Linked DNA regions of Tamandua tetradactyla. The protein of the gene in region 3 interacts with the protein of the main gene of each other region in a biochemical or structural test. Links are inferred from orthologs where the notes say so. Each region holds a gene or a part of one and is shown on either strand. Other genes may lie near its edges. The genes, in order: AXIN1, SMAD5, SMURF1 and RHOB.

What was found.
Region 1: of the proteins of SMURF1 (region 3) and AXIN1, one has a biochemical effect on the other in vitro, tested with the Homo sapiens proteins (2 studies listed by BioGRID, with this or other methods). The link is inferred for Tamandua tetradactyla from reciprocal best matches to the Homo sapiens genes SMURF1 and AXIN1.
Region 2: of the proteins of SMURF1 (region 3) and SMAD5, one has a biochemical effect on the other in vitro, tested with the Homo sapiens proteins (3 studies listed by BioGRID, with this or other methods). The link is inferred for Tamandua tetradactyla from reciprocal best matches to the Homo sapiens genes SMURF1 and SMAD5.
Region 4: the proteins of SMURF1 (region 3) and RHOB form a complex in vitro, tested with the Homo sapiens proteins (2 studies listed by BioGRID and IntAct, with this or other methods). The link is inferred for Tamandua tetradactyla from reciprocal best matches to the Homo sapiens genes SMURF1 and RHOB.

What each region holds. Positions count from the first base shown.
Region 1 is NC_135349.1:56,967,140-56,975,083, forward strand, and holds the start of AXIN1 (axin-1), read left to right. Parts: upstream 1-4,940; 5' UTR 4,941-5,028; intron 5,029-5,593; exon of another isoform or gene 5,594-7,944. UniProt on the Homo sapiens protein: Component of the beta-catenin destruction complex required for regulating CTNNB1 levels through phosphorylation and ubiquitination, and modulating Wnt-signaling.
Region 2 is NC_135346.1:15,399,294-15,407,030, forward strand, and holds the start of SMAD5 (mothers against decapentaplegic homolog 5), read left to right. Parts: upstream 1-4,736; 5' UTR 4,737-4,766; intron 4,767-6,343; 5' UTR 6,344-6,431; intron 6,432-7,737. UniProt on the Homo sapiens protein: Transcriptional regulator that plays a role in various cellular processes including embryonic development, cell differentiation, angiogenesis and tissue homeostasis.
Region 3 is NC_135349.1:7,194,444-7,202,319, forward strand, and holds the start of SMURF1 (E3 ubiquitin-protein ligase SMURF1), read right to left. Parts: upstream 3,017-7,876; 5' UTR 2,963-3,016; coding exon 2,908-2,962; intron 1-2,907. UniProt on the Homo sapiens protein: E3 ubiquitin-protein ligase that acts as a negative regulator of BMP signaling pathway. Mediates ubiquitination and degradation of SMAD1 and SMAD5, 2 receptor-regulated SMADs specific for the BMP pathway.
Region 4 is NC_135329.1:3,528,977-3,535,893, forward strand, and holds RHOB (rho-related GTP-binding protein RhoB), read left to right. Parts: upstream 1-4,451; 5' UTR 4,452-4,508; coding exon 4,509-5,099; 3' UTR 5,100-6,407; downstream 6,408-6,917. UniProt on the Homo sapiens protein: Mediates apoptosis in neoplastically transformed cells after DNA damage. Not essential for development but affects cell adhesion and growth factor signaling in transformed cells. Plays a negative role in tumorigenesis as deletion causes tumor formation.

The DNA.
Region 1 (7,944 bases), about 50 Mb from region 3:
AGGCCCCGCCTTGCAGCAGCTCCCAGGGACTTCCAGAGACCAAGTAACCCCGCTCCTTCCTTGTGGGCCCGGGGATTGGCGAGCCCATGTGCTTCCATGACGACAGTGCCCTCAAAGTGAGAGGATGGAGGTTGCAGCCCCTGGGCCCTGCTGTGCCCACTGCCTTGTTCCCACAGCCCCAGGGTGGGTGGGAGGACTGGCCCTATCACCCCATCCAGGTCCAGGACACCTCAGGCCAGGAGAGGGCTGGCGGGATCTGACTGCCACCTGGTAGGCTGTGTTCTGCCTCCACCCCCAGCAGCTCACCTGCCTACCCAGGTGTGCAGTCTGCAGGGCTGCGGAAGGGTGTGGCATGGCAAGGCAGAGGCAGGCCTTCCGGGCCCCGGGGCCCCGCCCTGTGCACCTATGCTTGCCCATCCCTCTGGCCTCCCAGCACCTCCAGGCACAGAGCCTTGGCTCCCTCCCTCTGGCGCCAGGCTGGTCTGACAGGCCCCGCCTTGCAGCAGCTCCCAGGGACTTCCGGGGACCAAGTGACCCCACTCCATGACCCTTGACCGGCCCAGACCCCGCACCCTCCTGTCCTGCCCTCACCACGTGGGCTCTGTGACACACCCTCATGCCAGGAAGGCAGCCCCAACCCCTGCAGTCCGCCGTCCCCAGCTGGCCCAGGCCTGCTCGCCGGTGGCTTCCAGCACACCTCGGGCGGCTCAAGGCTGGAGGCCCGGCCAGGGGCCCGGCCTCCCTAGCAGCTACTCACCCCCCTCGGGGCCGGAGGCCCACCCCTGCCCCCCGTCCAAAGGCTCGTCTTCCCTTGGTCCACTCGACAGGCGTGGCCTCCGGCCCTTCCCGGCATCACAGGGGGTGCAGTGGGGACGCACCATGCCTAGTTGAGAAGCCCTGCTCTCCGGACAGGGGTAGGCGGCCCAGGCAGACAGCCCCCAGGCGGCGGAGGGCAGCTGCAGTTGCAGGCCCCGTGCGGCAATGTGGCCGCAGCCCCAGGGTCTGGTGGGGTAGGGGAGGCCCAGGCGCAGGGCCCCGGTATGGCTGTGGCGGTGGCTGTGCCCACCGGGGTTCCTCCCTACACTTCTCCCCACATTTGCTTCTTTCCAGATGGGGCCTGACCTCAGCCGCTGGGGCAAGCCGGACCTGAAGCCCTGCTCTAGCAGGGCCATCCTGGGGGCCGGGCAGTGCCTGGAGCAGGTGCCCAGGAGGGCTGGACGGGGACCCCTCACTCACACTCGTGCCCTGCAATGGGCAGGAGCTGCACCGTCCAGCCACGCCCTACTCGACCCTCGGAGGGGACCCCAGTGTGGGCCCACCGGCCACCCACCTGCTCCCTCGGCAGTCGGGAGGGGCTGGGGGGCTGGTTGCCATGGCTACCATAGGGTTCCGAGGCCGTCATCTGGTCCCGCCTCAGCCAATCGGCGGCGGGAGCCCGAGCTGCAGCCTCGAGTCACGCGTCCCTCCCAGCCCCACAGTGGCCGAGCGGGACCTGCTGCCCGGACTGGCTGCCAGTGCTCGGACACGGCCAGGCCCGTCATGGCGGACAGCGGGAGGGCGGGCCGCGGGCCGGCGCGCGGAGCCAGGCAGGTGAGGTAAGCCGGGCGGGCGGGTGGACAGACGGATGCACAGACAGGTGGACGCGCTGCCCACTGTGGCCACGGCGTGGTCCTGCCCCTGGCTGGCCCGCCTGCCATGTCCACCCACCTGCGCACACCCACCCTGGGCCCTGTCCCCATGTCCTAGCAAGGTTCCCGGGCAGGGAAACAAAGAAGGCGGCGCGAGGCGGACAAGCCCCACCGCGCCCCGGTCCGAAAATCACCCTCCCGGGCCTTTCACATCAGATGTCACGAGGGCGGCATCAAAGACCCCCGACTGGCTGGCCCCTCTCCCAGCACCGCGCCCTGGCCCGCTGTCCCGTGCAAAGGCGGCGTGGCTGAAAGAGCAGTTTCCCACGAAGCATTTTTCAAAAAGGAAGAGGACAGAGAAAGAAGGGGAGAAGGACCGCCCATCCTAACGGGGGAGATGGATCAGAAACGCCAAATCCCATTACCCGGGCGTCCAAGGACAGCGGGCTGCGGCAGGGGCAGGGGCAGCACGCTGTCCAGGGCTGGTGAACGGAGCCCCTCGGAGATCAAAGAGGGTGCACGTGTGCGCGTGTGCGTGTGCACGCGTGTGCGCGCGGCCGGGGCGGCGGGGCTCAAAGCCTCCGTCGGGCGACGGTCGGGTCGCAAGGTGACCTCGGAGGAGCAGGTCATTTAATGCCTGTAGCTAATCCCCGCACTTTTGTTTGCCACGACGGATTCTGGCAGCAACAAAGGCGGGGAGGGGGGAGGGGGGGCAGCTCCGAGCGTGGCGGGCCCGGTGAGTGGTGGCAGTGCCCTGGGGACGCCGGCTTTCTTGGGGAAGTCGAGTCGGGGGCCCCACGTCCCCCTGCGACCCTGTGCAGTGTCTGAGGCTCGTGGGGGCGCCCCACTTTGCTGAGGGGACCCCGGTTCTGGGCAGCACCTCCTGCAGTCCCCACCTTCACCCGCACGCATCGAGGCTGTTGGGGGGTAGCTGGTACCCACCCCAGGCCTCGACGATTCCTTCCGACAGGAGAAGAGCCAGGCAGGCATGGCGGGGGCTCAGGCCCGTCTCCCTAGCACCTGGGCCTCTGGGGGGTAAACATGAGACCTAAAGGGAGAAGCCCTGGGACCGCGGATGGGGGACAGATAGACGGAACCTGGGCTGAGCCTCTGGTGTGGCAGCCAGGCACGGAGAGAGGAGCAGGGCACCCATCCAGGGGCAGAGGGCTCCCCCACTCCCCTAAGCCCCAGCTGACGTAGAGCTCTGGTTCCTGCCCTCCCGGTTTTCATTTCATTCTTGGAGATCCTGCGCTGATGTCTTCACACTCACCAGCTGTCCACGCTGGGCCTCGGGTGCCTGGGTCCTGCTCCCTGCACTGGGCTGTTTGATCCTAAAGACCCCCAAATTGAGAGGGGACTCGCCCCTGTGGAGAGCAGCCCACGTGCTGAGGCTGACCAGCCCCTGCTGCCCCTGCCAGGGCCCCTCTGGCCAGACCCCTAGTGGGGGGCCCCCTGCCCCCCTGCTATCCGCCCACAGGGCCCTGCGCTGCTCCCGGGCTCTCTGACCCCTTTCCTGTCCCTGCAGGCTGGCAGGCCCGAGGAGCAGGAAGCCCGAGGGCCGCGTCCTGGCCCCAGGCCTTGGGAACACCCGCCGCCGTGGGCCAGCGGGAAGACAGACGTGGATGCAACCCTGCGAGCCTGGTCTGGCCGCAGCAGCGGCTCTGCAGAGCCAAGGCAAGCGCCGGACGCGTGGGGGTAGGCACCCTTGAGGGCACCATCGGCTCAGCCCTTCCAAGTTTCCTTCACCCGTGGAACCCACGGTGCCATGGAGGACACCATCTCAGTCTCCCCTGGGACCGTGGGACACAAGGCGCTGCCTGCCCTGTCTGTGGCTGGTGTCCACATGCCCCTGCCATGTGGAGGCCTGGGGACACTCTCCCAGGGCCTGTCCTCCCTCTCGCGGCGTCACTGGGGTTGGGGTGCTGCCGGCCGAGGTTGGCTGCTGGCCCAGCGCGCGCTGGGCTGGGACTTCTGCTCTGCCCCAGTCAGTGCGGGAAGGGTCCAGAGAGGCCATAGCAGTGGCGGGAAAGGGTGGTCGGGGGTGTCAGTGTGGCAGCGGGGTGGAATCATGGTGGATGGCAAGTGACCAGCCACAGGGGGTAGAGGACAGGAGGGCCTGGCGGCTGGGGGTGCAGAAATGCAGGGTGCCCCAGGCCACAGGAGGTGAGCAAGGCCCTGACCGTGGGCCGCAGCCTCCTCACTTGAACTGGGGGTAGAGCTGGCCCCGGGGGGCTTTTGGTACATCCAGTACAGGGCAAAGGCCCTCACCGAATCACTGGAGGGGAGGAGATGTGACTTTGGGGGCATGGAGGTTGCAATTTCTGCTGCCACATCCTTGTTGTGGGGCGGCCCTGGAGCTGACCGCGTCCCGTGGGCCAAAGCTACTCCTGGGTGGCTGCCAGACCTCCGGGGCCTGTGGTGGGCAGGTGGCCAGCACAGCGATGGCCGGCCATGCTTCTAGGCGCCGACCGCAGACCAAGACGGTGCTGGGAGAGAGGGGTGGGTGCCAGGCCGGAACCCCCGAGGTCCTCGCCCTCAGGGAGCCCGAGGCTGCACCCTGGATGGTGCTGGGGAGACCTAGAGGCAGGAGGACAGCCCCTCCGCCACCCCGGACCTCAGCCCTCTGCAAGCTGCAGCTCCGGCCAAGGGTCCTGAGCATTTCCCGGATGCCTGGGGGCTGCTCGGGTCCTGGCCGGCTGGGCGAAGGTGGGCGGTGGGGCCGTCGGCGGCCCTTCAGGGCTCTCCCCAGCGTCGTCTCCTCTGCGCCACCCACCCCGGACACCGAGGCGAAACCAGCGCTTCTCCCCGGGCAGTCCCGGGACCCCGCCTGCGCAGCGCAGCCCCGCCCCGCCCCGCGGGTCCACGCCTCCGCGCCTGCAGCCATTTGGCTCCTGGCTGCGGCCCCGCCCCACGCTCTCGGTCCCGCCCCCACGCTCCCGGCCACGCCCTCAACCCCGGCCCCCCATGCGCTCTGACCCCAGTCCTACGCTCTGGCCCCGCCCCTACGCTTCCGGCCCGCCCTCACGCTCTCCGACCCGCCCCTGAACCCCGGGCCCCGCCCCCGCACTTCCGGGCGGCGCCGGCGGGGGCGCTCGGGCCTGGCTTCGGCGCTCCGGGCTCCGGCTCCGGAACCGACCGCTGCCGCCGCCGCTGCCGCTGCCGCCGCCGACCCCGTGCCATCGGACCCGAGCCGCAGCCACCGCGCAGAGGCCCGGTGAGCGGGGCGGTCGGCCTCGGCGGCGCCCAGCGCCTCCCCCGGGCCCGCGCCGAGGCCGTGGCGATGGGGGCCGCCCCCGGCCGCGCCCCCGCGCCGTCCCGCCCGTCCCGCTGCCGCTGAGCGCATGGGCCGCGCCGCTTCGGGAGCCGGGCCGGGTGCCCAGTCGCCGCCGCCGCCGTGCGGGTGAGTAGCGCGGCCGGGCCAGAGGGCGCGCAGGGCGGCGGGCGCCCATTGTAGGCCGCGCGAGGCCTGGCCGGGGGCGGCACCCGGAAGAGGGGCTAAGGGCGTGCGGGGGCGGGGGCGGGACGGGGGCGTGGGGGCCGGAGTGCGCGGCTCCTGGGTGCGCGGGGAGGCGAGGGTGTCCGGGGCCCGGGGTGCGCGGTGGGGCCGGGAGTGTGCGCGGCCAGGGCGCGCGGGTTCCCGGGGGGCCGCCAGACTGCTGTGAGCGGGGGGCGGGGCAGCAGGGGGGGGCCGAGGGAGCGCGGAGGTCGCGGGGGGCGGCGTGAGGGTGTCGCGCTTTGGGAGTCGGACACTGGCGGGGAATAGGGGCAAGGCCCCATGACTTGGGGTGTGCGGACGGGGAAGAGTCTGGGCGGGTTCTGGGCCTAGGGGTGCGAAAGGAAGTGAGGAAGACGCAGGGTTCTGCTCCGTGCGTGGGGCCGGGTGTGGGTGGGTGCCGCGGACCCTGGCGGGGGGCAGCTTTCAGCGGGTGAGTGGGTGCACAGTAGCTGCCCGGGCTGGATGGTCTGCAGGGATCCTGCCGCCGCCTTGCACCCCCCCCAAAAAAACAGGAAGAGCTGTGTGCACTCATGGAGGGCACCCCCTCTCTGTGCAGGATGCTGTGGTTGGCTTCCCTTACCCCTCAGGATGATACCTTGCCACCAAAAAACCAGGTGTTCCTCCTGGGTAATGAGTCTTAAGATTTTTACCTGCAACCCACACTTTGCAGCTTAACACCCCTGATGAAAGGAAGCAGCAGGTAAGGTAGTAAAACTTTTAGCTTGTCGTTGAGGATAACAGAGATGTTACCCTTCAGGTGCTTTTCTCAGCCCCACTCTGAGGCAGTTGTAAAGGTCTGTATTGTGCACATGGGCCCCTTTTTGTTCACACTTTGGTTCTCAGGTGTACTTGGGTCTTTGCTCTGAACTGGATCACAGAAATAGCCAGCAGAAGCTCGAGTTTGATTTTAGAAAAGTCTCTCCAGGGACAGGGGTGGGAATACATTTGAAATACAAGGTGACTTTCTTGGATGTAGAATTTTAGAAAAGCTAAGTGACTTTCTTGATTTAAGTTGGTTCTTGAGAATCCAGCTAGTGGGGAGTGGGTTGCATTTCAGACAATAGCCCTGACTCTTCAAGAGTTGAATTAATGGACAGTAGGAAAATTGTCAGAATTGCATACCGTTTCTTTCACTTTCCACGTAATTCAAAAATTCGGAAGTTATGGCATACCGTTTCTTTCACTTTCCATGTAATTAAAAAATTCGGAAGTTATGTTTAAGTAAAAGATGTAACCACATCCGTCCACAGATATGCTTGTGTGGTTGCTCTTGGGGTGGGCCACGTGGGGGCTGGGGTATGCCCAGGTAGTGGCAAAAAGAAGCAGCCTCTTAGGTCCCTTTCATGGAAACGCTCTATCGGTGGTGGTCCTGGCTGGGGGCCGGCGTGGTGCTTGCTGGCAGCTCTGACCTGGACTGAGGGAACTGTTGTGTGTGTGCAGAGCAGGGCCCAGGGCAGAGCCGAGTCCTCAGCGCCTTGGCTCACCGGGTGCCAAGGCTGGGAACAGGTGGGCCCATAAGAAGTGGTTCTTTTGTGCTAGAAAACTAACCCAGGATGGCCAGGTTGGACTGGGTTCACACATGAATTGAAAGGTTAGTCTTGAAAGCTGCAGTTTGCTAATAAGGGGTCAGAGTTCAGGTTTGCTGCCGTGTCTGTAACAGCCGCTCAGCACCTGTGAGGCGCTGGCGTGGGGAGAATGTGACAACTTTCTTTTTCCTTTATGTCCGTATGTATTTGTCGGTGCTGGTTAGTTGCAGGACCTTGTAAGTGCTGTGTGTCCTGCAGGAAACATGTAAATCAGAGCTGCTGCAGGTGGCTGCGTGGACACATGTGACAGAGGCTGTAGGGGAGTCACCCTGGTGATCCAGTGTCTCGCTCCTCCTGTGAGGCTGTGAGCTGTAGGCTCTCTCCACGGGTGAGCACAGGTGGTCAGGAATGAGACCCTCTTTCCCGAGATGGCACCCTGGACGAGAGGACATACAGCATGACAAGCTGGGGCAGAGCTGCGGGCACAGAGGTGCTCCCTTGGCATGAATGGGGCTGAAAGAAAGCGGCTTTGCAGCCAAAGTGGCCTGTGAGCCGCAGGTGCCTGGCTCCCGGGCCTCGACCTTAGGTAGCAGGCTGTTCTGGCTGCTCCCCGGGGCGTTTTCCTAAGAACTCTTTAGCTGCAGAAGTGCCCTGTGGGCCCTCTGCAGCCTTGGCAGTGTGGTCTTGTTGCTCAGCGGGCCCTGCGCTCCTCGCAGCACGCCTCGCGGAGTGGCCCAGGGTGGGCTCGTAGCAGCTGCCACGGCCCCTGAGGGGGCTCTGGCTTACCATCCTTGCCCCTTGAAGTACCCTCCTTCCACCCGCTGTGGGAAGGGTGTTCTCCTTACCGGAAGAGGGTAGCCCACAGTGCCCTCAGCCTGTCTTCTGAACGAAGCACCCGTGAGGCCGGGGCTGGGGTGGCCTCCTGGCTAGCTGTTATGGACATGCGCTGAGCTAGGGCCCACACAGCTTGCCCTGGTTGCAGGTTGTTGGTGGGGGCGGGGGGTGTGCTGGAAAACTTGCAGTTTTTTGGAAGGAGAGTGTGGCGCCCAGAGGGTCTGGGTGTGGCAGCCCCTTGGAGCACAGGCTGGGTGCTGCAGTGTGTGGGGTCCTGCAGGGGAGAGGAGCTGCCTTGCCCTCCTGCTCTGCGGCTGAGGGGTGCCTGCGGGCTGCGGGGCCGGGTGTGTGCGTCTCCCTGCAGGCGGGCTGTGAGCCGGAGAGTTTCCAGAGATGGCGTTCCGAAGGGGCACCCTCATGGCCCGCTGGGTCGCGAGGGGATTGCGGCCAGAGCCCGCGT
Region 2 (7,737 bases), on a different chromosome or scaffold from region 3:
TAATCTGAGGTCTTCCCGCTTTAAATACCGCATGGCCAGCAAGGAGCCTTGGACCGACTTCTGTCCTCTACTTCTCACCAAAATATGTGTGAAGAAACAGAAAGGACCCAAGGCTCATAATTCCTGACCTACAAACTAAATTTGAGGAGAATTTCTGCCAAAAAGATGACCAAATGGAGTATTGGGGGAAAAAAATGGTGGCACCCCTACTTCACCCCCTGAAACAGAGCAGCCCTGGCTTCCTAGAAAGCTACTTCAGCAACCTGTGTTTTCTACCCCTCTAAGAGGATTTACAACAGCCAGAAAATCAGGCAGACAGTTTAGGACACCAGGAGGCTGGCTGCCTTTTGAAGTGCTCTGAGGACGAGGATGGACAATCACTTCTTATTCTACCCTCCACCTCCATCGTGTTTCTACATCCAATCAGAGGCTGTAAATCCTAGAAAGGACTGAGTAGAGGGTTTGGGGTGGGCAAGAGAGACGAGAAAGAAGGGTGGTTGGGTCCATTTTAGGAGACTGAGAGCTAAAGGCCAGTGCTGTGACAACAAGGAAGAGAGGTCATCGTCACAGCAGTTCCACGGGAGGGCTAGCACGTCTCGTGTATTCCATTCATTCAACCCACCATAAAGTCAGAGACTAGGCGATAGGAGAAAATGTACCTTTGGATAAGAGAGGAGCCCTAGAGCATTGAGGCTCTGCAATCAGAGCTTTATGATTTTATAGATTTTTATATTGCCGTTCCAAGTAAGATTGTTTTCTAAGGAAAGGTTCTGCTGAAAACCACGACAGTTATTCCTGCTAGACACTGGAATTGGGACGTGAAATATTATACCAATTTGCTCTACTGCTGATTTCGTGAAAAGGGGGACCTAGCCCTCCACCCACTCACTGTCCCAGTATTTCTCTCAGTGTACAGAGCAAAGTGAGAAAGGGACAATTTAAACCCTAATGAAGTACACGGGAACAGAAATAACATCTTGAAAATACAGAGCAGGAGCATAACAATGCAAATATGACAATGATTTGTGACGAAACCCAGAAGAAAATTTTGGAAAATAATTGGGACCTTCCATAAACACAGCTTCTATGAAATAGGAGTAGACAGCCGTGTGGAAAAAACCAGACGAGATGAAAGAGCACATAAGGAGGGCAAGGAAACTCATATATTAATGGTAAGATTAAAATCATCTGAATTGGAGGCAATAAAAAGTAGAATTAATGCCCAGAAAATTAAATCACTGACATGGAGGATAAACATTAATGGTCTTTACAAAATGCAGAGGAAATGGGAAAAGCAATAAAGATTATGAGAAAGGAAATGATCTGCTTGGGGGATAAATAATGGAGACAAGTTCCAAGAAGAGTAGGCTAACCGAAGCAAGAATGAAAATCAGTTGGGTGTAGAACCAGTAAAGCATCATTGAATTATGTATTCCAGAGATTTAAATAACGTATGAGTGTGCGAAGCAAAAATAAAACCATAAAAAAGAAAGAAAATATAGGTGTTTATTGATGTTAGGCTGAGCAAGAACTCCGTAAACAAATAAACAATAGCAACAATGAATACATATATATATATGTAAAGATTAATAGATTTGGATGCATTTTGCCAAGTTTAAAGAACATCAAAAACATTGAGGTAAATTATAAATTTGGAAAAATGTCTGTGACAAAGACAGACGGTTAATATACCTAATCTATGAGGTGCTTTTCAAAATAAGAAAAATACTAACACCCCCCCCCCCCCCAGTATGAATGTTGGATAGTGGTCATAAATAAAAAAATTAAAGGAAGACTCAAATGACCAATAAATATTTGAAAACATTTAGCCACATTAGTAATCAAAGATATCAAATTCAAAGACAAGATAGTACTAGATAACATTTCTGCTTTTCAGATGTGCAGATTTTTTAAAATTTGGTTCTGAAAATCATGATTTGAATAGCACTCCCCTCTTGCACTTGACTGGTTCCTCTTCTCCTTGGGGTTTCAGTTTTACCTTCACTTCCGCCAGGGAGTTTTCTCTGACCACCCAGGCTACGTCATGTCCTCTAATTGTCATTTTTCATTGCATCTTCTACTTTGTGGCATTCATTTCAATCATATTGTGACTGTGTGTGTGAGTCATTTGTTCAGTATCTGGCGCCCCAATGAGACTGTAAAGATAACTAAAGCTTACATTGAGAATTTACTCTGTGCTAGGCAATATTTAAGTGCTTTTTGAATGTTCTGCATTTTTCTCCCAATATGGAGTCTCTGTGCTTGTTTAAAGAGGAGGAAACGGTAGCTTAGCAGAAGTTCAGCCCTTGTCCAAGCCCTGCCGGCTGGTACCTGCCTCCCTTGGCTAGAGGCTAGGGCTCCTGGCCTGAGAGCTGCAGGGATCTTTTCCAAACTTTTCCCACCCAGAGTGATCATTCAGAGGCAAAGCCCCTTCCTCCAGGAAGGGACCAGGTCTTCCATTCTGGACCTCATGCCGTACCATGACATCGTCTGAGACTACGATAGGAAACCAAGCTTACTTCTCAGAGTAGTCTAGTTAGAGAACACTCAAAGTTCACCTTCATTTTTTTGGTTCCACACAGCAAAACCTTTCACCATGGCACTCATCTCCGTATTTCAAGATGCCACATTCCACCATAAAGTTACAAAAGAAAAACTGTGGGGTGGGGTGGGGTGGGGGGAGGCACTGAGGAATTCATGATTCATGCATCCAAATCCTTTCTTGGATCCCCAGAGGGAAATTGCATGCTACCTTTATTATGATGCTTTGTCATCGCCAAATAAATAACAAGAGAAGCAAGGGATTTTTTTTTCAAGATAAAGGAAAGGTTAGAATTATTTAAACTTAAATCAAGTGCAGACAGGTTTATCTCCCTTCCTACCCAAGGAGATAGAGTCCAGGACTGGGTGAGCTGGTGGTAGGGACTCCAAGATTGGAAGAGAGCAAATGAGCAGCTGGAACAGAAAGAGGGAGAGTTTCCTCATGAACCCAAGTGGCTGACAGGGAGCAGAGAAAGGACTGGAAAAGGCTTGCTGTTTTGTAGGATAGTGACACTTCTAGGACCTTCTAATCTGCTACAACCCCCTTAACACAGGATTCACAAGAAACAAAGTAGCACAGTTGAGTTGTTTAAGAACCCGCCTGTGCTTGGCTGTTAGCAAGGTCTGAGTTTAATTCCCAGCTCTCTCTCCTTCCTGCGTGCCTTAAAGCTTCTTAACCTTATTGACTCCAACTCTCCCATAAAAATGGGATAATAAAAGGGGCTGCTTCATGGAGTTGTAGTGTAAGATAAGGACGTAGCATAGAGCTGGCATGTTGTAAGTTTTCAGCACACGTTAAGCATTACTATTTCAGATGGGCAACCTGGCCTGCTGGCAAAATGGATCTCTTTCTTTAAACCTGAATTATTTGTAGTGGAAGTATTCTAAGCTAAAGTGTATATTTTACAGGCTTATTAAATAGAATACTCTAAATATAGTCAATGCTTTTGCTTTTATTGAGCTTTTCTTATACTTAATAAACCTCGTTGTACAAACACGGACAATGCAGGCGCGTATAAAAGTGAAATTGGAAGCCTGCCTTGTCTGCTTCTCTTCTCCAGGTAACAATCCTTAACAGTTGGTGGCATATCCTTTCTGACTGGATTTCCTGAACGTTCCATCAGGCGCTGTGTGGCAGGGAGGCGGCCATCTGAACAATGCAGGATGCCAGCCTGTGGCGGCTTCACATCAGCGGGCCTGCGGGCCCCTCCCGTGTGAGTTAAAGTTGCATATTTCATGATTATACCACAGAAAGAGCGGTAGTATCTTAGAAATAGCCCTAGAGGAGAGACCTGAAGCTCTAATTCCCAGTCCTCATCCTTACACTTATGACCTGTATGAACCCAGAAAAGTCACTTTACGCACTAAGCCTCAGTTGCCCCCTCTGCAAAATGAGATTTATGAACTAATTCATGGTTACTGATTGTATACTATGGGTTAGGCACATTGTGAAACAAGACAGACAGCTTTCCTCGAGTTTGCATCTTAGAAGGAGTAAAAGGGTGATAAATCAAATACATCGGCAAGTGAATATCCGATGAGGCTATGAGGATAACAGCCAAAGAGGGTGAGGTGATAGGACATGACAGGTTGCTTATCTCCCAAGGTTGCTGAGACTCCAAATAACTTTCCTCAAAGGGTTTTGTAAACTAAACGCATGATATAAAATGTAATTTAATTCTTAGGAAAAAAGAAAGGACCCGTATATTTGTAACACCAACCACCCACGATACTGTGATTCTTGAAGGAGAAAGGGGCCTCAGGAGTGTGTACCATTGAGAAGTGCTGCTTTAGAGTTGATAAAACACTTTGTCCATACTTTATCTCAATCTGTCCTCTATGCTTGCCAAAAGTCGCAAAGATATGGAGGCAGGGAGTGGTGTGAGAAAAGAGAAAAACTTTTCTTTTCTACAGACCAAAGCCCACTTTGTATAGTACTTAAGTTAGACCCTCACCGCTAGTACTGGAATGCTTGCAAAGCAGTAAATTAGGGGGTGGCATCCTGGAGCCCGAAAGACCAAAGTGCTGCCACATCCTTTCCAGGTGCAGCCTTTCCGGTGTTTACACTTTAACAGCCGCAGAAACCCAGCACAGAGTGCTCTGAGCCCTGACGGAAGACCAGTAAGATATTACTATGAAGTCAGTTTTACATCATAATGATGAAGCACATTTACAGAACTTGATTTGAAATTTTCATCTTATACTGTGCTGCAAACTGGCACTGGGTGAGTTTGGTATCACTCTCCCATGTTGCAGATGAGAAGACTGAAATTCATAGAGGAGAAAAAAACCCTCCAAACTGGTGGCTGAATGCCCTCATTGGGTCAGCAGGCTCCTGTTGAGCCCATCTCTCCCCAGGATCTCAGGCCACACTGGTTTACTTCTTGGGTTCCCCCCGCCCCAGCCTGTCCATGCTCCTCCCCATTTCCACCTCCCTCTCCAAATTACATCCTCCTGTCAATTTTTTTCTTCTACCATAGCACACTTTTGCTTTCCCTGTGCACTTATGAGAAAACACCATTATATTTTCAAGTGTGTTTATTTGTGTATTGCCGGTTGTTCCCGTGATGAACCCCACGTCCATGCCTCTTTGGTTCACTGCTGAATTCCCAACACCGGGGACAGAGCTCGCGAAATATTTGCTGGATGAAGAATGAAGGAGGAAAGGAGGGAGGGCCAATTCGTCGCTTTTATTCGAAGGTTTAAACATAAAACATTACCCCCGAGATAAAATCAAAACATTTCCCCCTGATATTGGATAATGAAGATGTTTGAACATGTAGAAAAGTGGAAAGAATTGTGCACTACTGAGTCAACAGTTGTTAACGTAGAAGAAGAGCTGTTACCTGAGTATTGTCAAGGACAACTGAATGTAACGCCAGGCTGGCTGATTATGACTTGACTATTCTTTGGAAGCGACTGCTTTGGGAGCCCTCACGTTCAAATACTTCGTTCTGCAGCAGTGATCCAGAGGCGGCACCGGGCATAGGAGGCCTATGGGCGCCCACACACGCGGCTCAGTCCTCTTTGCGGCTCGTGGCAGTATTAGGCGTAGGAGGGACAGGTCTGGGCCTTAAGGCCTCATCAGTTATTTCTCTTTCCCGAGTCTGGTTTCTCTTCTGTGAAAATGGGGATTCATATACCCGATCTGCCCACGCCATCCCTCACCAGGCCAGGATGGTGGGAATCAGATGTAGGACACTGTCCTTTGTAAAATGACAAAGCAGGAAGTGCTGGTGAAATGTAGGGGAGTATTGCAGCAAGGGGGCACACACAGAACCCCTGGGTATCCGTTTGTTTTCCTTCTCACTCATTTGCTGTGTTAACGAAGAATTTCAGGTTGACTCTGAGCTTCTGTCATCTGGCAGAACTTTGGATCACAGCCTCGTGACTCCTCCTGAGCACATGGACTTGAGCCAAAGGCAAACCTGTAAGGGCCTCTCAGATACTGCCCACTCCCCAGAAGCTGCATCGCTTTGAGTATTTTGCCAAATCTCCATCCTGCTCTTGGAAGAGGACTTGAGCGGAGAGAATGGAGGAATAGTTGTCTCTGCCTGCCCCTTCCCCAAACCCCTGGCAGCAGGATTCCTGTGCCATCTACCCTCCCACTCTCTTTCTTCTCCCCCCTGCTAGACTAAAACTTGTAGGGGAACTTTGGCCCTGAATTTCAGCAGGAAACACACCCAGCAGCCAGATGTCTGACTTTTTCACCCCTTGGCAAGGATTAGCCATCTTCCCTGTAAACTTCCGGCTTTTCCTTTCTGTTAGATCTTTCAGCTTCTCCCTTTTCTATCTCCTTTAGTTCATAGACATGGACACTCTCGAGAGGAGAAGCAAAAGGTAGCTTGCAAACTGCTGCAGACTTGCTGAGTGTTTATATACTCCATTCGGTAAGTTCGTTGTTGGTGAATGTTGGAGAGTTGGGGGGTGGGGGACGAGGAGGGGGTGGAGTGGTGGAGGGGACCCGGTCAGCATTCAGACTCATTTTGTCTGTCACTAAATGTATATCCAGTGAAGAACCGGTGCCTTTCATGATGATCAAACAGGACAGATAATTAGATAAATTCACAACTTAAAATAACACATGAAGGAAAATAAGTGCAAATTCTATTACCATCAAAGTATTTGAGTGTGAAAAAATAATAGGTAAAACAGACCTCTCAACTTCAGGCATAATGAAAGAACCAGCTCTTCTTTGACAAACGAATCAGACCTCAGAGAACACCTCATCCACTTCCTTCACTTTCCAGGTGGAAAACTGAGGTGCCGGGAGGGAAGGACTTGCCCCAGCTCTCTGACCGATGGTGAAATGCGGTATCCTGGCCCAAAGGCTCACACTTGGCTCTGTTGACATCTCTCCAGAGATATTTCTGGAAAAGAAGGATTGCATTCGCAGGCCTGGGCCTGCCCTGCCCACTGTTCTGTCTCCTGTCCTCCTGCTCCCGGGCCGCTGGCCCCGCCTCCCTCTCAGAGGCCCTCTCTGACCTACAGTCCCCGCCAGGAAGCAGCAGCTGCAAAGGGGACCCGGCTTTTCTCTCACGTATGCACCAGTCTTCCAATAAACACCTTGAAGCGGGAGAAGCAGAAGCCTTTTTTAAAAAGTGTAAGAGGAAACATTTCTAGAAAGAACACTGTCTTCCAAGTCAGTACTCTTAGACTATTCTCCATGCAATAAGGGGCAAGTGTTTCCCAAAGAAATGCATGAAAAGCGGGTCATCACAGGAAACCTTTACAACGAGATTTTGAGAAACTGAATTATCACTTCACTGTACAAAATTGTCATTCTTTCCTTCTCACCAGTTTTCGCCTGATATATCTCCCTTCACTAGTGTGAATTCCCACTCCACCAGGCCTGACTGTGTGGTTTTGGTAGTCACTGCCCCTCTCTGTGCCTCAGTTTCCTCACCTGTAAAATGGGGATTATAGTTTTGATTTCATATAGTTGCCCCAGGGATTGTGTGAGATGAGGGCGAGCATACTTAGCATGCGGTTGGTGCTTACTAAATGCCCTCTGAAATAGAGGCCTATAACTATGTCCCTTACCTAAAGGGCTCTAACAAACAGGAGGATTCCTTTTCGGCAAGCCCCGCGGCACTTCGTTGGGCAGCCCCGGCTGCCTGCAGGAAGGAGGACAGGTCTGAGCCTGGAAGGATATGTTCAGTGGCAGCTGGCAGGGTTCCTGTGAAACCCGAGCTC
Region 3 (7,876 bases):
GTATTCAATATACTAAATCAATGTTTGGCATAAATCAAACACGAGGGCTACATTTTAATACAAATTTCTGAATATGAGGATTGAGACTTAGCAACAGAAAGCACAAGTCCCCAACAATAATTTGGAATGAATAGGTGAAATCTGACAAATCCCATGAAAAGTAGAAGCAAAGACTATTATAATAGGATTGAAATCTCATTTCGTATGTTAGGAAAGGATAAAAAATTAGTTTCATATCATTTTCTTACTGGTAGATCTGACCAGAATCCATGACTCCTAACTCTAAACTTTTGCCCTATAACCAAACACAATTGTGTACCCAAAAAGTTCTAAATGGTGTTTCACAACTCCAGTGTCTGCATATGTTGCAATTAATTACGCTCTGTGTGTAATTAATTAATCATCGATTAGTTAGATAGCCCTCATTTTAAAAAATTCTTATTTTCAAATATCACACATGGAAATAAACTCTGAAACCAGTAACAGAAGCATTCAACGTTTGAAAATTATCTGCACAATGTGCCAAAAATGAAATGATTGCAAACTTCCCATAACAACCTTAAAAATGAAGTCAAAACCTATTCTATCTTCAAACAAACTATTTAATGTCACTGTTTCCGCATAAATTAATGTGCAACAGACAAGTGCCACCAGGTGCTTCCACCATCACTGCTTCACTCTCAACCTGCTGCAGGAGCAGTCACTCTCACAGACCAATTTAAAAGGAATATTTATTTCAGAAAGAACACGCATCACCTGATCCTTTAATAGCAAATGCCATACCAAACCTCTGTAGGCATTTCTGGATCTATGACATCCAAATTCCTGAGTCCAAAAATAATTTGGGAGAAGTACAAAACAAATCTTCTCCTTCAAGAAGAAAAGAACCAGGCCTAGGTCTGCCAACTAGACTTGATTAATATATATATATATATATATATATATATATATACACACCTGATGCATATATCTGTACCTGAAATCTTACTCTCTCTAAAATTTTAATCACATTTCTACTGAACTTCACAAAATCAGGTACTTCGGCTTTTAATAACAAGAAAAAGAAAACAAATGGATCTGCTCTCAGTTACAAATTACATTGTAAATGAGAACCAAATTAAGGTTGTCAGTAATTAAAGTTTTACAAGTATCACAACGTCAGAAACATGACTTTTATGTTGCCATAAAAATAACTTACTGTTTTTATCTATGCGTTGAGAAGTGTTTCCTAGCCACACCCTGGTATAAAGGATTATGCCTCTCCAGAAATCCCTAGTTTACACCTGTTACCTTACAAATCCAGGGTCTGGTTTGGGTCCAAATAATTCCTCAACTAACATCCTTGTTTAAAAAAAAAAAAAAAGCAACCCTTTTCTTGAAACAAAAAATGTATCAAGCAACTTTGTTTTTCTAAATTTTAGTTTTCATGAAACCACCGGGTTGTTTTCATGGATTGATTTTTCAGATGACCTCAAGGCTGTGCTGCCCTGAAAGGACGCGACCAGACTCTGATTTCGGAGTCCCCACTGGGCCCCGCCACTAAAGAGAAGAGAAATCGAGGGAAAAATCCCTGCGAGGGAGTGGACTGAACTTTTTATTTCCTTTCCAGAGCTGGAAGTATTGTGGTTTGGAAAGTCCCCGGCACAGCCATATGGGAGCACCACACCCCGCCTCAGGTGTGCGCACCTGGGGCTGCGCTGGGACACGCGGCTGCAGCCCGGACCCGCCCCCACCCCCGCCCCGGGGCACCGATTCCCGCGGTTTGCGTCCACACGCATCCCGGCCCCCGCGGGCCGGCCGCGGAGACCTGCACCTATACCCGCTGAAGACGAAATGAGAGTGCATCAAGAAGTGGGGGGAGGGACGCCTAGCAGGGGCTCACGGGCGTGGAGTGGGGTGACCACGGTGAAAGGCGGATCAGAAAGAAGCCGACTGGGGCACACAGGGACCTGCCTGAGACCGAGGGAGGAAGCGGACCAGACTGCAGAGCTTTGGCTGAGGAGGAGAGGTGGGGGGGACAGGAGTGGGAGAGGCCAGACGCTGGAACCAAGGAATTCGAGGCTGATGAGTTGATGCATCCGGATAGAAGCCAGGCGGCCGGGCGGAGAGGCCGGCCAGGCGGGACTCGGGAGGTGAGGGGCGGGGTCCTGAGAAGCGAAGGGCGGAGCCATGAGAAGTGAGGGGCGGAGCCAGAGAAAAGAGGGAGGAGAAAGAGGGGGCAGATGCAACAAGGCAGGTAGAGAGAAAAAGGAAAGCAAAGAGGAGAACGGGGGTTGGGAGTGAAAGGCGAGGGGACGGGACCAGGAGAGGAGAGTGGAGGAGGCAGGTGGGGGAAGAAAGAGGGAGAAAAGGAGGGGTACTTGGAAGGGAAGAGGTGGGGCCAGGAGGAAGAGGTGAGGGGTGGAGCCAGGATGGGAGAAGCGAGGGGGCGGGACCAGGAGGGGAGAAGCAAGAGAAAAGCGGTGGGAAAGAGAAGGGGAAGGGGTTAGACAGGGGCGGTGAGGAATAGGGGGCGGGCCAAGAGGAAGAGGTGAGGGGTGGAGCCAGGAGGGGAGAAGCGAGAGGGGGGACCAGGAGGGGAGAAGCAAGAGAAAGGTGTTGGGAAAGAGAAAGGGAAGGGGCGGGGCCATGAGGGAGAAGTGAGGGGGCGGGGTCGGGAGGGAGAAGCAAGGGGCGGGGCCAGCAGGGGAGAAGCAAGGGGGCGGGGTCAGCAGGGGAGAAGCGAGGGGGCGGGGCCGAGCAGGAGCGAGGGGCACTCGCTGAGGGGGTGACGAGGTCCCGGGACCACGGCCGGCGTGGGGGAGGGACACCCCCCAGGGCGACAAGAGGGGGCTTCCGGGGCTGGCGAGGGGCTGTGCGGGGCAACCGGGAGCTGGCGGGGCTCTCCGGGCCTCCCGCCGGCCGTACCTGTCAGACGGATCTTGATGCTGGAGCCGTTCCTGCGCGTCCCGGGGTTCGACATCTCCCGCCAGCGATCGGGCAGCCGCGGATCCAGCGCCTCCGCCCCCCGGCCCGGCCCGGCCCGGCCCCGCCGCCGCCGCCTCAAGGTTACGGCTCCGGGCTGGGCGCCGGGGTCCGAGCCGGGACACAAACTCCGCGGCCCAGGCGTCCGGGCGGCGGGTGGATGGTTGAGCCGGGACTTGGCACTCGGCCCCGCGCCCAGACCTTCGCGCCCTCCCCGCCGTGCCCAGCCCAGAGCCGCCGCTGCTGCCGCCGCCTCCACCACCTCAGAGCCGGACGCCCGCCGCCCTCGCCGCTTCCGCCGCCGCCTTCCCGAGCCGCGCGCGCACACGGCGCCTGCCTCGCCGGCCCGGCCCTGCGCGCCCCCGTCTGCGTGCGCGCGCCCAGGCTGCGTCGGGGCGGGACAACACGCGCACGTACGTCACCCGCCCGGCTGCGGGCGCGCGGCTGCTCCGCAGCTTGCGGACCCGGACCTTCCTGCTCTTGCCGGGCCCAGACGGGCTTCTCCAGGAAGCTGGGAAGAGGCTTGGCGGCCCCAGGAGCCGAGCGCCCCGGAGCCCACTCGCGGAGAAGCGCGGGTGCCCGGGGTGAGGGGTGAGGGGTCGTCCCGACACGGGTGGGCGATGCTGCCCGCCTCAGCCTTTGGTCCTCTCTGCGGGACCCGACGTGCAGATGGGAACGTGGAGGCTCCGAGGATGGAATTCTTTTCCTGGGCTCTGGCTCAAGGCCCCGGGCTCCTGCTAAGCTCCTGCAGGGAGGCCTCCATGAAACCCTGGCCTGTTCTTAGACTAAGCCCCTTGCGCAAGCGACACGGGCCTTCAAGAAGATTTTGAGTAGAGTTTTCAGATAATGCAGCCGATTCAAGGGGGCGGCTTCTCAATGAGACAAAGTCCCTTGGGTGGGTTTTGTGCAACTAATGCACTCTGTTGACCCGAAACAGAGTTGCCAGAATCGCGCAGAAAGTACCGTGTATGGACACGATAAACAAGATTTGTGAGAGGGATAAAGTTGAGGGGTAGAGAAGATGCTGGTCATGATCCAGTCTGCACACGGTTTGACCAGACAAGCAGCAGTACCGCCTACGTTTCCCTGCCTTCTGCTAACACTTCCCCTCCTCTCAGGGTTACAGGTTAGAACTAGAAGCTCTGTATACATTCCCTTGCAAACGTGGTGTAGAGAAGAAGAAATATATTAACAGAAAGGAAGGCTGGGTTGTTGATCAAACTCGTCTTTGACCCACTTTATGTAATCCTTTTAATGTACAAATTCTTTTAATTCGCTTATTTGGTTTGTGTCTTAAAGAAACCAGGCTCTGGGCAGTTGTGGCCATCCCTTGCAACCTTGGGCCTTTTCCGAGGTCACAGTCTTGGGACTAGGCCCCTGTCCCTAGAGCCCCTTGGCAGTGCCTGCCAGCTGCAATCTGAGCCAAATGAAAGCAGAGTCCTGCTTTGACTGTCTGAGCTTCAATCCCTCAGAAAAGTGTGCCTGGATCATTTGTACGGCCTTTTGCTGCTCAGACTTTAAATGGTTCTGTGTTTAAGCTACAGGACAGTAGACCCAGAATCCAGCTCTGTTTCTCTCTGCAGGCAATTGTCCCTTGATCTGAATAAACCCATTTACAGTTGGTTGTCTAATGTCCCCAAATAATCCCCATTCTTCTTTCATCCCAGTCAGTATTTCCTCCTCTTTATTACCATATTCAAGAAGTCTATTCTTTCTCAAACAAACCCGACTCTCTCTCTCTACTTACCTGTTCTGTTCCCCCACCATTCCTGGCCTGGAAACCATTTATTTCTTAACCACATTGTTTTCTTATCTGCCTAGATGTCTGGACTTTCCTTTGCTTGATTATTTCATCAACACCCCCCCCCCCCCCCGCCTCCAGCCCCCACCCACCCCTGGCCAGGAGGTCCTTTCTGGAAGTTTGCTGACAGGTATTTTGTTTACTTGGTAACAAGTAATTACGGTTATTTAACTGGAAACACCTAATGGTGTGCTGCCCCACAAACTATACAAGGAGAACCTTCCTAATCAGAAGCTAACACTTAATTCATTCACCAAATCTTGGCCACCTATTCAGGGACACAAGTCACAGCCTCAGCATCTCAGAAGCTCAGCTAACTGAGAGACAGACGTAAACAATTGACACTGATGCAGGGATAGAGATATGCACAGAGGGCCAGGGGAGAGGTTACAGGGCAAATCTGCCTTTGGGGAGGGGATGGGGAGATCTCAGAAAGGCAATATAAGGACCTTGGAGGCAGTATTTGCCAGCAAAGGGCTGGAGAAGGGCTTTGTAGGCAGCAGGAGCCTCTCATGCAAAGGCATGAAAGTAAATGTGTTTTCCTGCAGTTTCCAACACCAGACCAATCGCACAGCTGCAGTATCTTCCATCCATACACCTTATCCCACTCTAAGTTGATAAAAGATATTTGCCCACTTAAAAATCATCAGCCACTTAACAAAAAAGTCATCAGCTGCGATTTTATCCTAGGCCTCATACTGAACTTAAGATCTACCCTGAAATTTATTCATCCGGTATCAAATTTTGTCAAAAATACTATCTTCTAAAACCATCTGGAACACATGGACACTGCGGTGGTTTGGAGTTGTTCTTAATCTGAATTCATTCCTGTGGGTATGAACCCATGGTAAATAGGACCTTTTGATAAGGTTGTTTAATTAAAGTGTGGCCAACTGAATTAGGATGGGTCTTAATCCTGTAGAGAAGGCCACAGAGAGAAAGTACTGGGAGAAGCAAGAAGTAGGAAGTTCAAGGGACCCGGAGGAGAAAGGGGACAACATCGCTGTGTGCACTGCCGTGTGACATAAAAAACAAGGACCAAAGATCACCAGCAGCCAGCCCCAGCCACAATATTCAGGGAAAAAACATTGTCTGGCTGACACCTAGGTTTTGAATTTCTTCTAGCCTAAAAATTGTGAGCCACTAAATTCCTGTTGTCTAAGAAGCTAGGAAACTAAAACAGGAACTATCAAATATTTCTGCTGAAACAAAGCTGGGACTCAATGAGTTTTTTCACATGTCCTCTGCAATGTCTAGAAGGCGCAGTTTTGACCCTGCTTTCTATGGGCTTGGCAGCTGATTTTATTGCCCCCAAATGTTTCATTTTCCTGCGTCAGTGTTATAGGGCATCTGAAAACATTTTCCAGTGGAAATAAAAATCTTTCTTTGGATCTGGCTGTAGTAGTTCTTAACCTGTTTCTGAGTCAAACCTCTTTAAGTATCTGATGAAAACTCTGGACCCTTTCCCCAGAAAAAATTCATGCATGGCAGATGCCAAAGTTTGCATCCAATTTCAGTGGGTTCATGATCTCCTGAAAGCAATTTGTGGATGTTGTAAGGGCTCTAGATTAAGAACCGCTCTTCTAAAGGAAATAATCATTCAATAATCTTTACGACTATCTCATATGTATGTGTTCAGGAGGTAACACCGAGCAGGGAAGGCTTTGGAAAAGAAAACACATACAGGCCCACCCGCTACCCTGCCTCCACCACAAGTTCAGCTGGGGACAGAGCAAGTTAATTACATTCTCCAAGCCTCACTTTGTCCATCTGTCAAATGGGGATAATAGTGTCTCTCACCCAAAGTCAGCACGAGGGTTAAGTTAAACCCTGGATGTGGACTTAGCAGTCTAATAGAGCAGATGCTTGGTGAGTGGTAGGACATATAAAATGTGTGTGCTCATCTTTGTTCCAGTGCCTACTATGGGAGATGCAGCCGCAATTACTATTGGGGAAGTTTGGGAAATTGTGCAGAGTATTCCTGGCAGGAGTGGACAGCTATACCACATGCCTCTCGAGAGCACGATTCTGTACATGAGCCAGTGCCTCTGACACCAGTGGCTGGATGAGATCAGCCCTTACAGTCGTCTCTAGAGCTAGGAGCTAAACTCCTTTTGCTTTTCATCTGAACATCAAGTTTTTAAAATAATTGGATGTGCAAAATTGTGATACTTAGCACATTTATTTACTTATTCTTTTAGGCCCAGATGGTTTTAGGGTCTTTCTCTAAGTGACAGATCTAATATTTCCAATCTGCAAGGCTGACTATATTATCATCATTGGTAAGGGTTATAACTTAGTATTTTTTTCTCATTGAAATTTTAATTGAGATCATCATGGATGGATGATTGTATAGATGGAAATAAGACAAAGGGATCCCTCTGCCTGGCGTCCCCAGAAGACATTTTGCAAAACCATAGTATAAGATCACAATCAGGTGTGGGCCCAATGACTTAGCAGGCAGAGTGCTCGCTGCCATGCCAGAGACCCAGGTTTGATTCCCAGTGCCTGCCCCCCCCCAAAAAAAGATCGCAATCAGGATATTGGCATTGAAACAATATGACGAGGTTACACAGATTTCCCCAGTTTTACCTATACTGATTAGTGTGGCTATGGATGTTAAATGGTATATAGTTTTAACACCTGTGTGTTCCATAGATCCATCACTAGAATCAAGACACCCAACAGTTCCCACACCACAAAGACCCCTTGTGGCCATTTTATACCATCGTCCCCCAACCCCTGGCAACTACTAATCTGTTCTCCATTTCTAAAATTTTGTCATTTCAAAAATGCTATATAAATGGAACCACACAGTATGTGATCTTTGGGGATTGTCCTTTTTCACTCAACATAATTCCCAGGAGATTCTTCCAAACTATTCCTTTTCATTGCTGAATAGTATTCCACGAGCAGTCGTGTGCGCCACAGTCTAAGTCTTCACTAGTTGAATCCCATCTGGGCTGGCTCCAGTTTTTGGTTATTACAGATAAACTACTCTGAACTTTTGTGTACAGGTCTTGTATGTGTGTGTGTGTGTGTGTGTGTGTGTGTGTGTGTGTACATATGTTTTAATTTCTCTGGGATAAGTGCTCAAGAGTGCGACTGCTC
Region 4 (6,917 bases), on a different chromosome or scaffold from region 3:
ATGTTCCGCAGTGGTGGTGGGTGCGTGTGCTAGGGTTTGCCTCTCTCTTTTGAAAGGAGAGGGAGTCTCAATGCCAAGGCCCCAGCAGGCTCTGCTGTTTAGAAAACCTGCCTCGTGTTGGGGATGACAGCGGGGGGTGGGGGGGTGCTGCTGCTTTCAGGGGGTGGAAGGAAAGGACTGGGGGGCTCCTGGCCTGGAAGGACTGACCGCAAGTGGGAAGGAGGGGGACGCTCACGCTGCCCGAGGCCACAAGACCACGGAGTGCCCTGCGTGGCTGAGCCTCTCAGAAGTCCAGCACTGAGGTTAGGACAATTAAAGGGGGATCTGCCGAAGAGAGGCCACTGTCCCTGAGAGAGGCCAGGCGGCCTGCTGAGCTTTCCAACAGGTACAGCAGCGCCACCCAACAGAATGGCGTGTGAACCACATGTGCAGCTGAACATTTTCTAATATCACATTAAAAAACGTAAGAAGGGAAAAGGTGAATGTTAATTCAAAGAATAAACTCAAATATAGCCAAAATTCAAAAATATATCCAGTACACTCACAATATTCTCATTTCAACACGTAGTTGATATAAAAATTATTGATGAGCTTTTTCATATTTTTTTTCACTTGAAGTCTTCAAATTCTAGGGTTTAACTTAAAATTACGGCACATCTCAATTCAGACGTGAGATTTTTACCGAGAATACTTGATCCGTGTTTAGGTTTCATAAGACTTCCTTTGAAAAAATAGATTCCCATACCCAAGTTGTTTCAAACACACAGAAACATTTCCCAATAGCTGAATCGGACACTGGTTTTTAAATCTGAATGAATGAAACTGAAATAGCAATCACAGCTCTGCCCCAGCCGTGCTGCCGGCACGCAGTGGGCACTTGTGCTAAGAGTTGACTGCTTTGGAGGGCGCTCAGAAGCTGCCCGCCACTGCCCACTGCCCTTCTCCTGCCCCCGGACGGGTAGATGGGGCTCTGGCCGAAGTCCAGGCCCGCAGCCCTGAGGCTGCCGGGCTGGTCCCCTGAGCCCTGCCGCTGCTCAGAGCCGACACCCCGGAAAGCAGCAGGACACCCCTCAGCCAGGACACTGGGCCCCAAGCCCACCCAGACGCCCCCCACATCAGACAGGATGGCTGGTTCTAGAAGAGCCCTTCTACTTTTACTGTTTCTCACCCAGAGGTAGAAGGTTGACAATTTTCCTAGACATGAAAAGCTCCTCCTTAAACGAAGACTTTTAAATCCCTCTGCTAATCTCTTCAAACTTACAATTTAACTAGGAAGGACTTAAAAATGCATATATGAACAAGATTTTATATAGGTGTGTATGAATATATAGATAAAGATTTCTAAAGAAGCTACTTGCTACTTATTGAGCTGTGCTTTGAAATTTATCACTTCTCTGTACATTTGTTATATTGCACAATAGAAATGCTTTTGAAAAAGAAGTTACTTGTAAGTCATACTTTAGTTTTATATCATCTGAGAGGTCCTAAAAATATTCATAAAATGCACGTTTTTTTGACTAAATGTTTTTTATAATGTCTCTTTTAGGAAAGAATGTAAAGATTGCCACAAGGAGGCGCTAAAATCTAATAAAAATTCCAATCTCAGGGTGATTTACTGGGGATACACAGGACACCCTGGGCAAAGAAATGGCCAAATAACTTAAGTAGACTATTGGAGAGAAATTGATACTCTTCTTCGGAAGGATCGACTCCCTCTCTCACGTTATCAGTTGTATGGTGGATCTATGTGTTAACAAAGTTAATTATTAAATGACTTGTTCTTATAATCAAATGCTGTCCTTGCCTTTCTGTGGCAGCACTGGGAAGGGAGGGGGAGGCGGGGTGGCGAGTGTGGACACGCGCATCCTCTACGCAGCGTCCCCTCTGAGGCAGCTGGTATTCCCAGTTCTTGTCAAACTATCTCTGGACAAGAAACGAACACCATGAAAAGAAGTTGCTGCAGAACGTGAATTTTTTCTGTTTGTGTACTTTGCCATGTTTACCAAACGAATATTTTTAGAAATTATTGCAATACTGAGATTCGAGCTTGGCACACACAGCTCCTATGGCATGCGTGAAAATTGGGAAATGAGTAAATTTGATCATTCTTCCTGATTCTTTGTGTGTGTGTTTTTTTAAAACATGGTACAAAGTTTGAACGGTCTAATATTTTCTTAATATTTGAGGCTTCAGGGCACAGCCAACATTCCCAAGTTATATTAAGACCATGCAAAGTAGTCTAAACAGTACAGCTATAAAAGGTTTTGACTAAAAGAAGAAAAATGTGTGCAGATAAGATTTCTCCAATAGGCTAACTAAAAAAAATAAAAAAAATCCAGATGGGAGCCTTAAACCAATGATCAAAAAAAACACAAAACCCTTGGGCCATGGGATGGCACTGCGGAAAAATCATTCAGTCGCTTGCAGAGAGAGCTGGGCCCTGTTGTGCAGCCAATCCCGGGAAGGGAAGTCTTTGTGGCCATTTCAGGAGTTGTTCCCCAGGCTAAGGACTAAGGGCTGTGGTACTCGTGGCTCACTGACCTGATCGCCGGGTTCGCCACACCTGCCGAGTCCACGCGCCCTGGGTCTCAGTGTGCCAACGCTGGCTGCAAACACCAGGGCTCAGCCATAGCCCAGCCTGGGCTCCGCGGGCTGTTACAGCAGAGCCTGCAGCTGAGGTTCAGGACCCCTGGAAGGTTTCAACTGAGTTCCGCAGCATTTTGGTTAATTCTCCATTTAATGGTTCTTGCGAAGTGCCAGGCATTGTGCTAGGTTTCCCAGGAGACAGAATCCCAGCCCTCAAATGGCTCAGCACAGAGGGAGACGGAAATATGAGGCATAACATCTTCATGATGGAAAACCAGGAAGCCACTCTCTGTCCCAGCAATGGGTCGAATGCGCATTAGCCAGCTACCCGCTTCTTCCAGCCTGTCCCCACCGTCCCTCACCACCAAACACAGCTCTGCACCGCTGCTAGAATCCGCCCTCCTCTCTCCCTCCTTCCAGCCTTGTTGAGCGGCTCCTCCTTCCCAGGAGACCACCCCACCCCACCCCTACCCACGCCTCCCCTTCCTCCTTCCCACCTCTTCTGTGCATTGAAATCCCAACTCCGGCCATCTTTGTACACCAGGCATAGGAGTCCTTTCCTATGGGCCCAGGGCATAGAGAAGACCGTCCCCAAGGCAGTAATTCGCTGAGTCGGGGCCTGCAAATCTCTGCCCCTTTCCCGGACTTTGGCCCATCCTCGGCTCCCGGCCGGGTGGGGGTAGGGGGTGGACTCTGCAGTCCTCCAGTGCTGACATTTCTCGGGTTTAACCATGAGGATGAGAGTTAATCACGCGGAGCAGGGCCTGGGCTGTCCTTCCCTACCGGTAACTTCCTCAAAGTGGACGGGAAGTTCTGCAGCCAGCCTAGAAATTCCCTTTCCACTGATCTACGGGGGCCCTGGGCCTTCCTTCCTCTATTCCTCACCTGAAGCCCAGGCTGGGGGCCAGGCCAGGGGTAGGCCAGAAGACTCGAAAGCGGGGGGTGAAGGACGGACGGCTCCGCCCAGGCCCCCTGTGCACAGTCTGGCCCACGCCTGCCTCGTGGGTCCAGAAGAGCTGCCAGGAGGCCGAGTACCGGCGGGACTAGAGGAACGGCGGTTCTGAATGAAAGGGAGACAGAAGTGGTGTGTGCGCGCGTGTGTTTATTTAGAAACACCACCACCTTTAGGAGCCGCCCCCTCCCCCAGGGAGCCGCCAACCCACCGGGAGCTCGCAGGGCCGCGGGGAAATTCCGAGTGGGAGGGGGCGCCAACGCCCCACGGAGCACCGTCTCCCCGGAGCCGCGGGCCGGAGACGGCGGGGTCCGGTCGCACCTCGCGGGGGCCCGTGCGCAGCCACAGCCCGAGCCCCGCCAAGGCCCGGCCACGCCCCGCCACGGCCCCGCCACGGCCCCGCCGCGCCAGCCGCGGCGCGCACGCCCGAGGCACCGCCTCTCCCAGCCCCGCGGCCCGGGTTGTCAATCAAGCGCACCCGGCCCCGCCTTCGGGCTGCAGCGTGCGACCAATCGGAGCCAAGCTCCGCAGCGATGAGCTCAGTCTGCGCGCTTCCCATTGGGCAGCTATATTAAGAAAGTGGCCGGACGCTTTAAATAGCGGGCGCCGGGGCCGCAGCCCGCATCTGCCGCCGCAGTCTGGCCGGAGTCGTGCGCTCCTCCCGTGCCGTGAGACGCTCCCCAGCCCAGCTGAGAGCCCCGAGGGGTCGCGAGGCCGGGTCCGCAGCTCGGGCGGCCGTCTCGGCACAAAGGCGGCGGCCCCCGCCCGGGACGAGCCGCGCGGCGCACCCTATGCCCCCGCGCCCCCGCCGCGGCCGCCGGAGCGCGCGAGCCAGAGCGCCAGCGCGGGGCCTGGGTGCAGCCGGCGCCCCTCGCCCCCGGCGCCCAGCCCCCGGTGAGCGGTGAGCGGCGAGCGGGACGGCGGCGAGGCGCTCGCGGGCCCCCTCCTGTTGCCCGGGCCCGGCCCGCTCATGGCGGCCATCCGTAAGAAGCTGGTGGTGGTGGGCGACGGCGCGTGCGGCAAGACGTGCCTGCTGATCGTCTTCAGTAAGGACGAGTTCCCCGAGGTGTACGTGCCCACCGTCTTCGAGAACTATGTGGCGGACATCGAGGTGGACGGCAAGCAGGTGGAGCTGGCGCTCTGGGACACGGCGGGCCAGGAGGACTACGACCGCCTCCGGCCGCTCTCCTACCCGGACACAGACGTGATCCTCATGTGCTTCTCCGTGGACAGCCCGGACTCGCTGGAGAACATCCCCGAGAAATGGGTGCCCGAGGTCAAGCACTTCTGTCCCAACGTGCCCATCATCCTGGTGGCCAACAAGAAGGACCTGCGCAGCGACGAGCACGTTCGCACGGAGCTGGCGCGCATGAAGCAGGAGCCGGTGCGCACGGACGACGGCCGTGCCATGGCCGTGCGCATCCAGGCCTACGACTACCTCGAGTGCTCAGCCAAGACCAAGGAGGGGGTGCGCGAGGTGTTCGAGACGGCCACGCGCGCCGCGCTGCAGAAGCGCTACGGCTCCCAGAACGGCTGCATCAACTGCTGCAAGGTGCTATGAGGGCCGCGCCTGGCCCGCGCCCCCCCTGCCGGCGCCGCCCCCCCTCGCGGCCTGCCCCTCGCGAGCCCGGAGACGGGGGGATCCGCGCCCCCGAGCGGCCCCACCGCGCCGGCCATCGGCGTGGGAGGGACCGGGCGCCCCCTTCCCCGTGTCTCTCTGTGCGGCCGGTCGTGCTGCACGGTCCCGGGCACCCTGCCGAGTGCCCCGGGCCCCTGAGCATCCTTTGCTGCAGAGCTGGGCCTCCGAGTGCGGCTGCGTGTGTGGCCGGCCGCCCCCCCCCCCCCGCCCAGTGGCCGCCCCCTGCCCCCGCCTCAGGTCCCCGGAGCCGAGCGCGGCCGCGCCCCGTCCGCTGCTCGCCCCTAACCAGCGAGCGCCTGCCATCCCTTGTCTGTAACATAGACCCCGGGAACTGCGGGAGGGGAGGGCTGGGGAGGACGGGGGGAGGGGTGCTGTATAAAAATAGATTAATTTTATTTTCGGGAGGTAGGATGTTATTTAATGGCGGTGGTGGGCGGAGGGACGGCGCCGGAACAGCCCCGGCCAGGCGTGGATCAGGCGCCCATCTAAGCATAGACTGGATCTGGCCATCTTGGCGGCCTCCGGGGAAGACATTTGGAACTGACTTGGGGCCGAGAGGACACAGCTTCCGGACGCGGCGCAGCGGCTCCTGTGAGCGGGCCCCCCCACGCGCAGCCCCCGCAGCCTTCCGGAACGCCGGGCCAGGAGGAGCCTGCGCCGCAGGGTTGTTTTTGCCATAAGCGAACTTTGTGCCTGTCCAACAAGTGAGAATTGTTTGGTTCAAGAAACTGATGTTATTTGATTTATTTAAAGGCTAAAAACTAGTTTTGTTTTTTTCCCAAAAGAATTCTTTGCACAATTGTTTCATTGTTTGACACTTAATGCGCTTGTCATTTGCATAAGACGGTCTGACTCCACTTGTATGCTGTAACCTCATCTACTTCTGATGTTTTATTTAAAATGATGACTTTTAAAAAATGAGAGGAGAGAAAAAAAAACGCACTAATTTTTGTTTTATTTTCTTGGAAAAAGTGGCAACACTGGCGATTTTATTTGTGCAGATTACACACACCCGTTTGGTAAAGGGCAGTCACAAGCATCCCGGCCTATTTAAGGTATTTTGGGTTTTTTTTCAGAAGGCAGTCTCTAGAGCTATGTGAAGTTTTCTCTGCATCTCTGTACAGAGAATAAACTTGCCCCTATTCTCTCTTTTCTCCCCTCCTCCCCCTGTGGTACTTCTACTAAATTGTCTTGTTTTTTTATTTTTTAAATAAACTGACAAATGACAAAGTGGTGAGCTTATGATGTTTACATAAAAGTTCTATAAGCTGTGTATACAGTTTTTTTTTATGTAAAATATTAAAAGACTATGATGATGACATTTATAAAGTGACTGCTATGGTTTAATAGTATATAAAAGTTTCCTGGTGGATTTGGGGCAAGGGAAGGACTTTGCTAGGCCAGATCCTGTGTTTCCACCATAAATACAGTCCCTCACCGTATATGTAGGAAATTGGAGTGACGTCCCTTGGGGCGTGCGTGTGGGTTGGGAGGTGTGGGAGACCTGGCTGCTCCTGTGCCAGTGGCAGAGGGAGCTGAGCGGGGTGCCCAGCTACCCCACCCTCCATTAGGTGAGGCCAGATACCTGGATTCTATTTTGTTCTTTATGTACCAAGCCCTTGTGCTGAAATCTATTCTGGGGCCTTGGCGTCCTATTTTTTGAAACTTGAAAATGTGTGCATTTTAAATTTAGATGACATTTTATGTCAGTCACTGGTGTGGGGGCAGACTTTCTTTGTC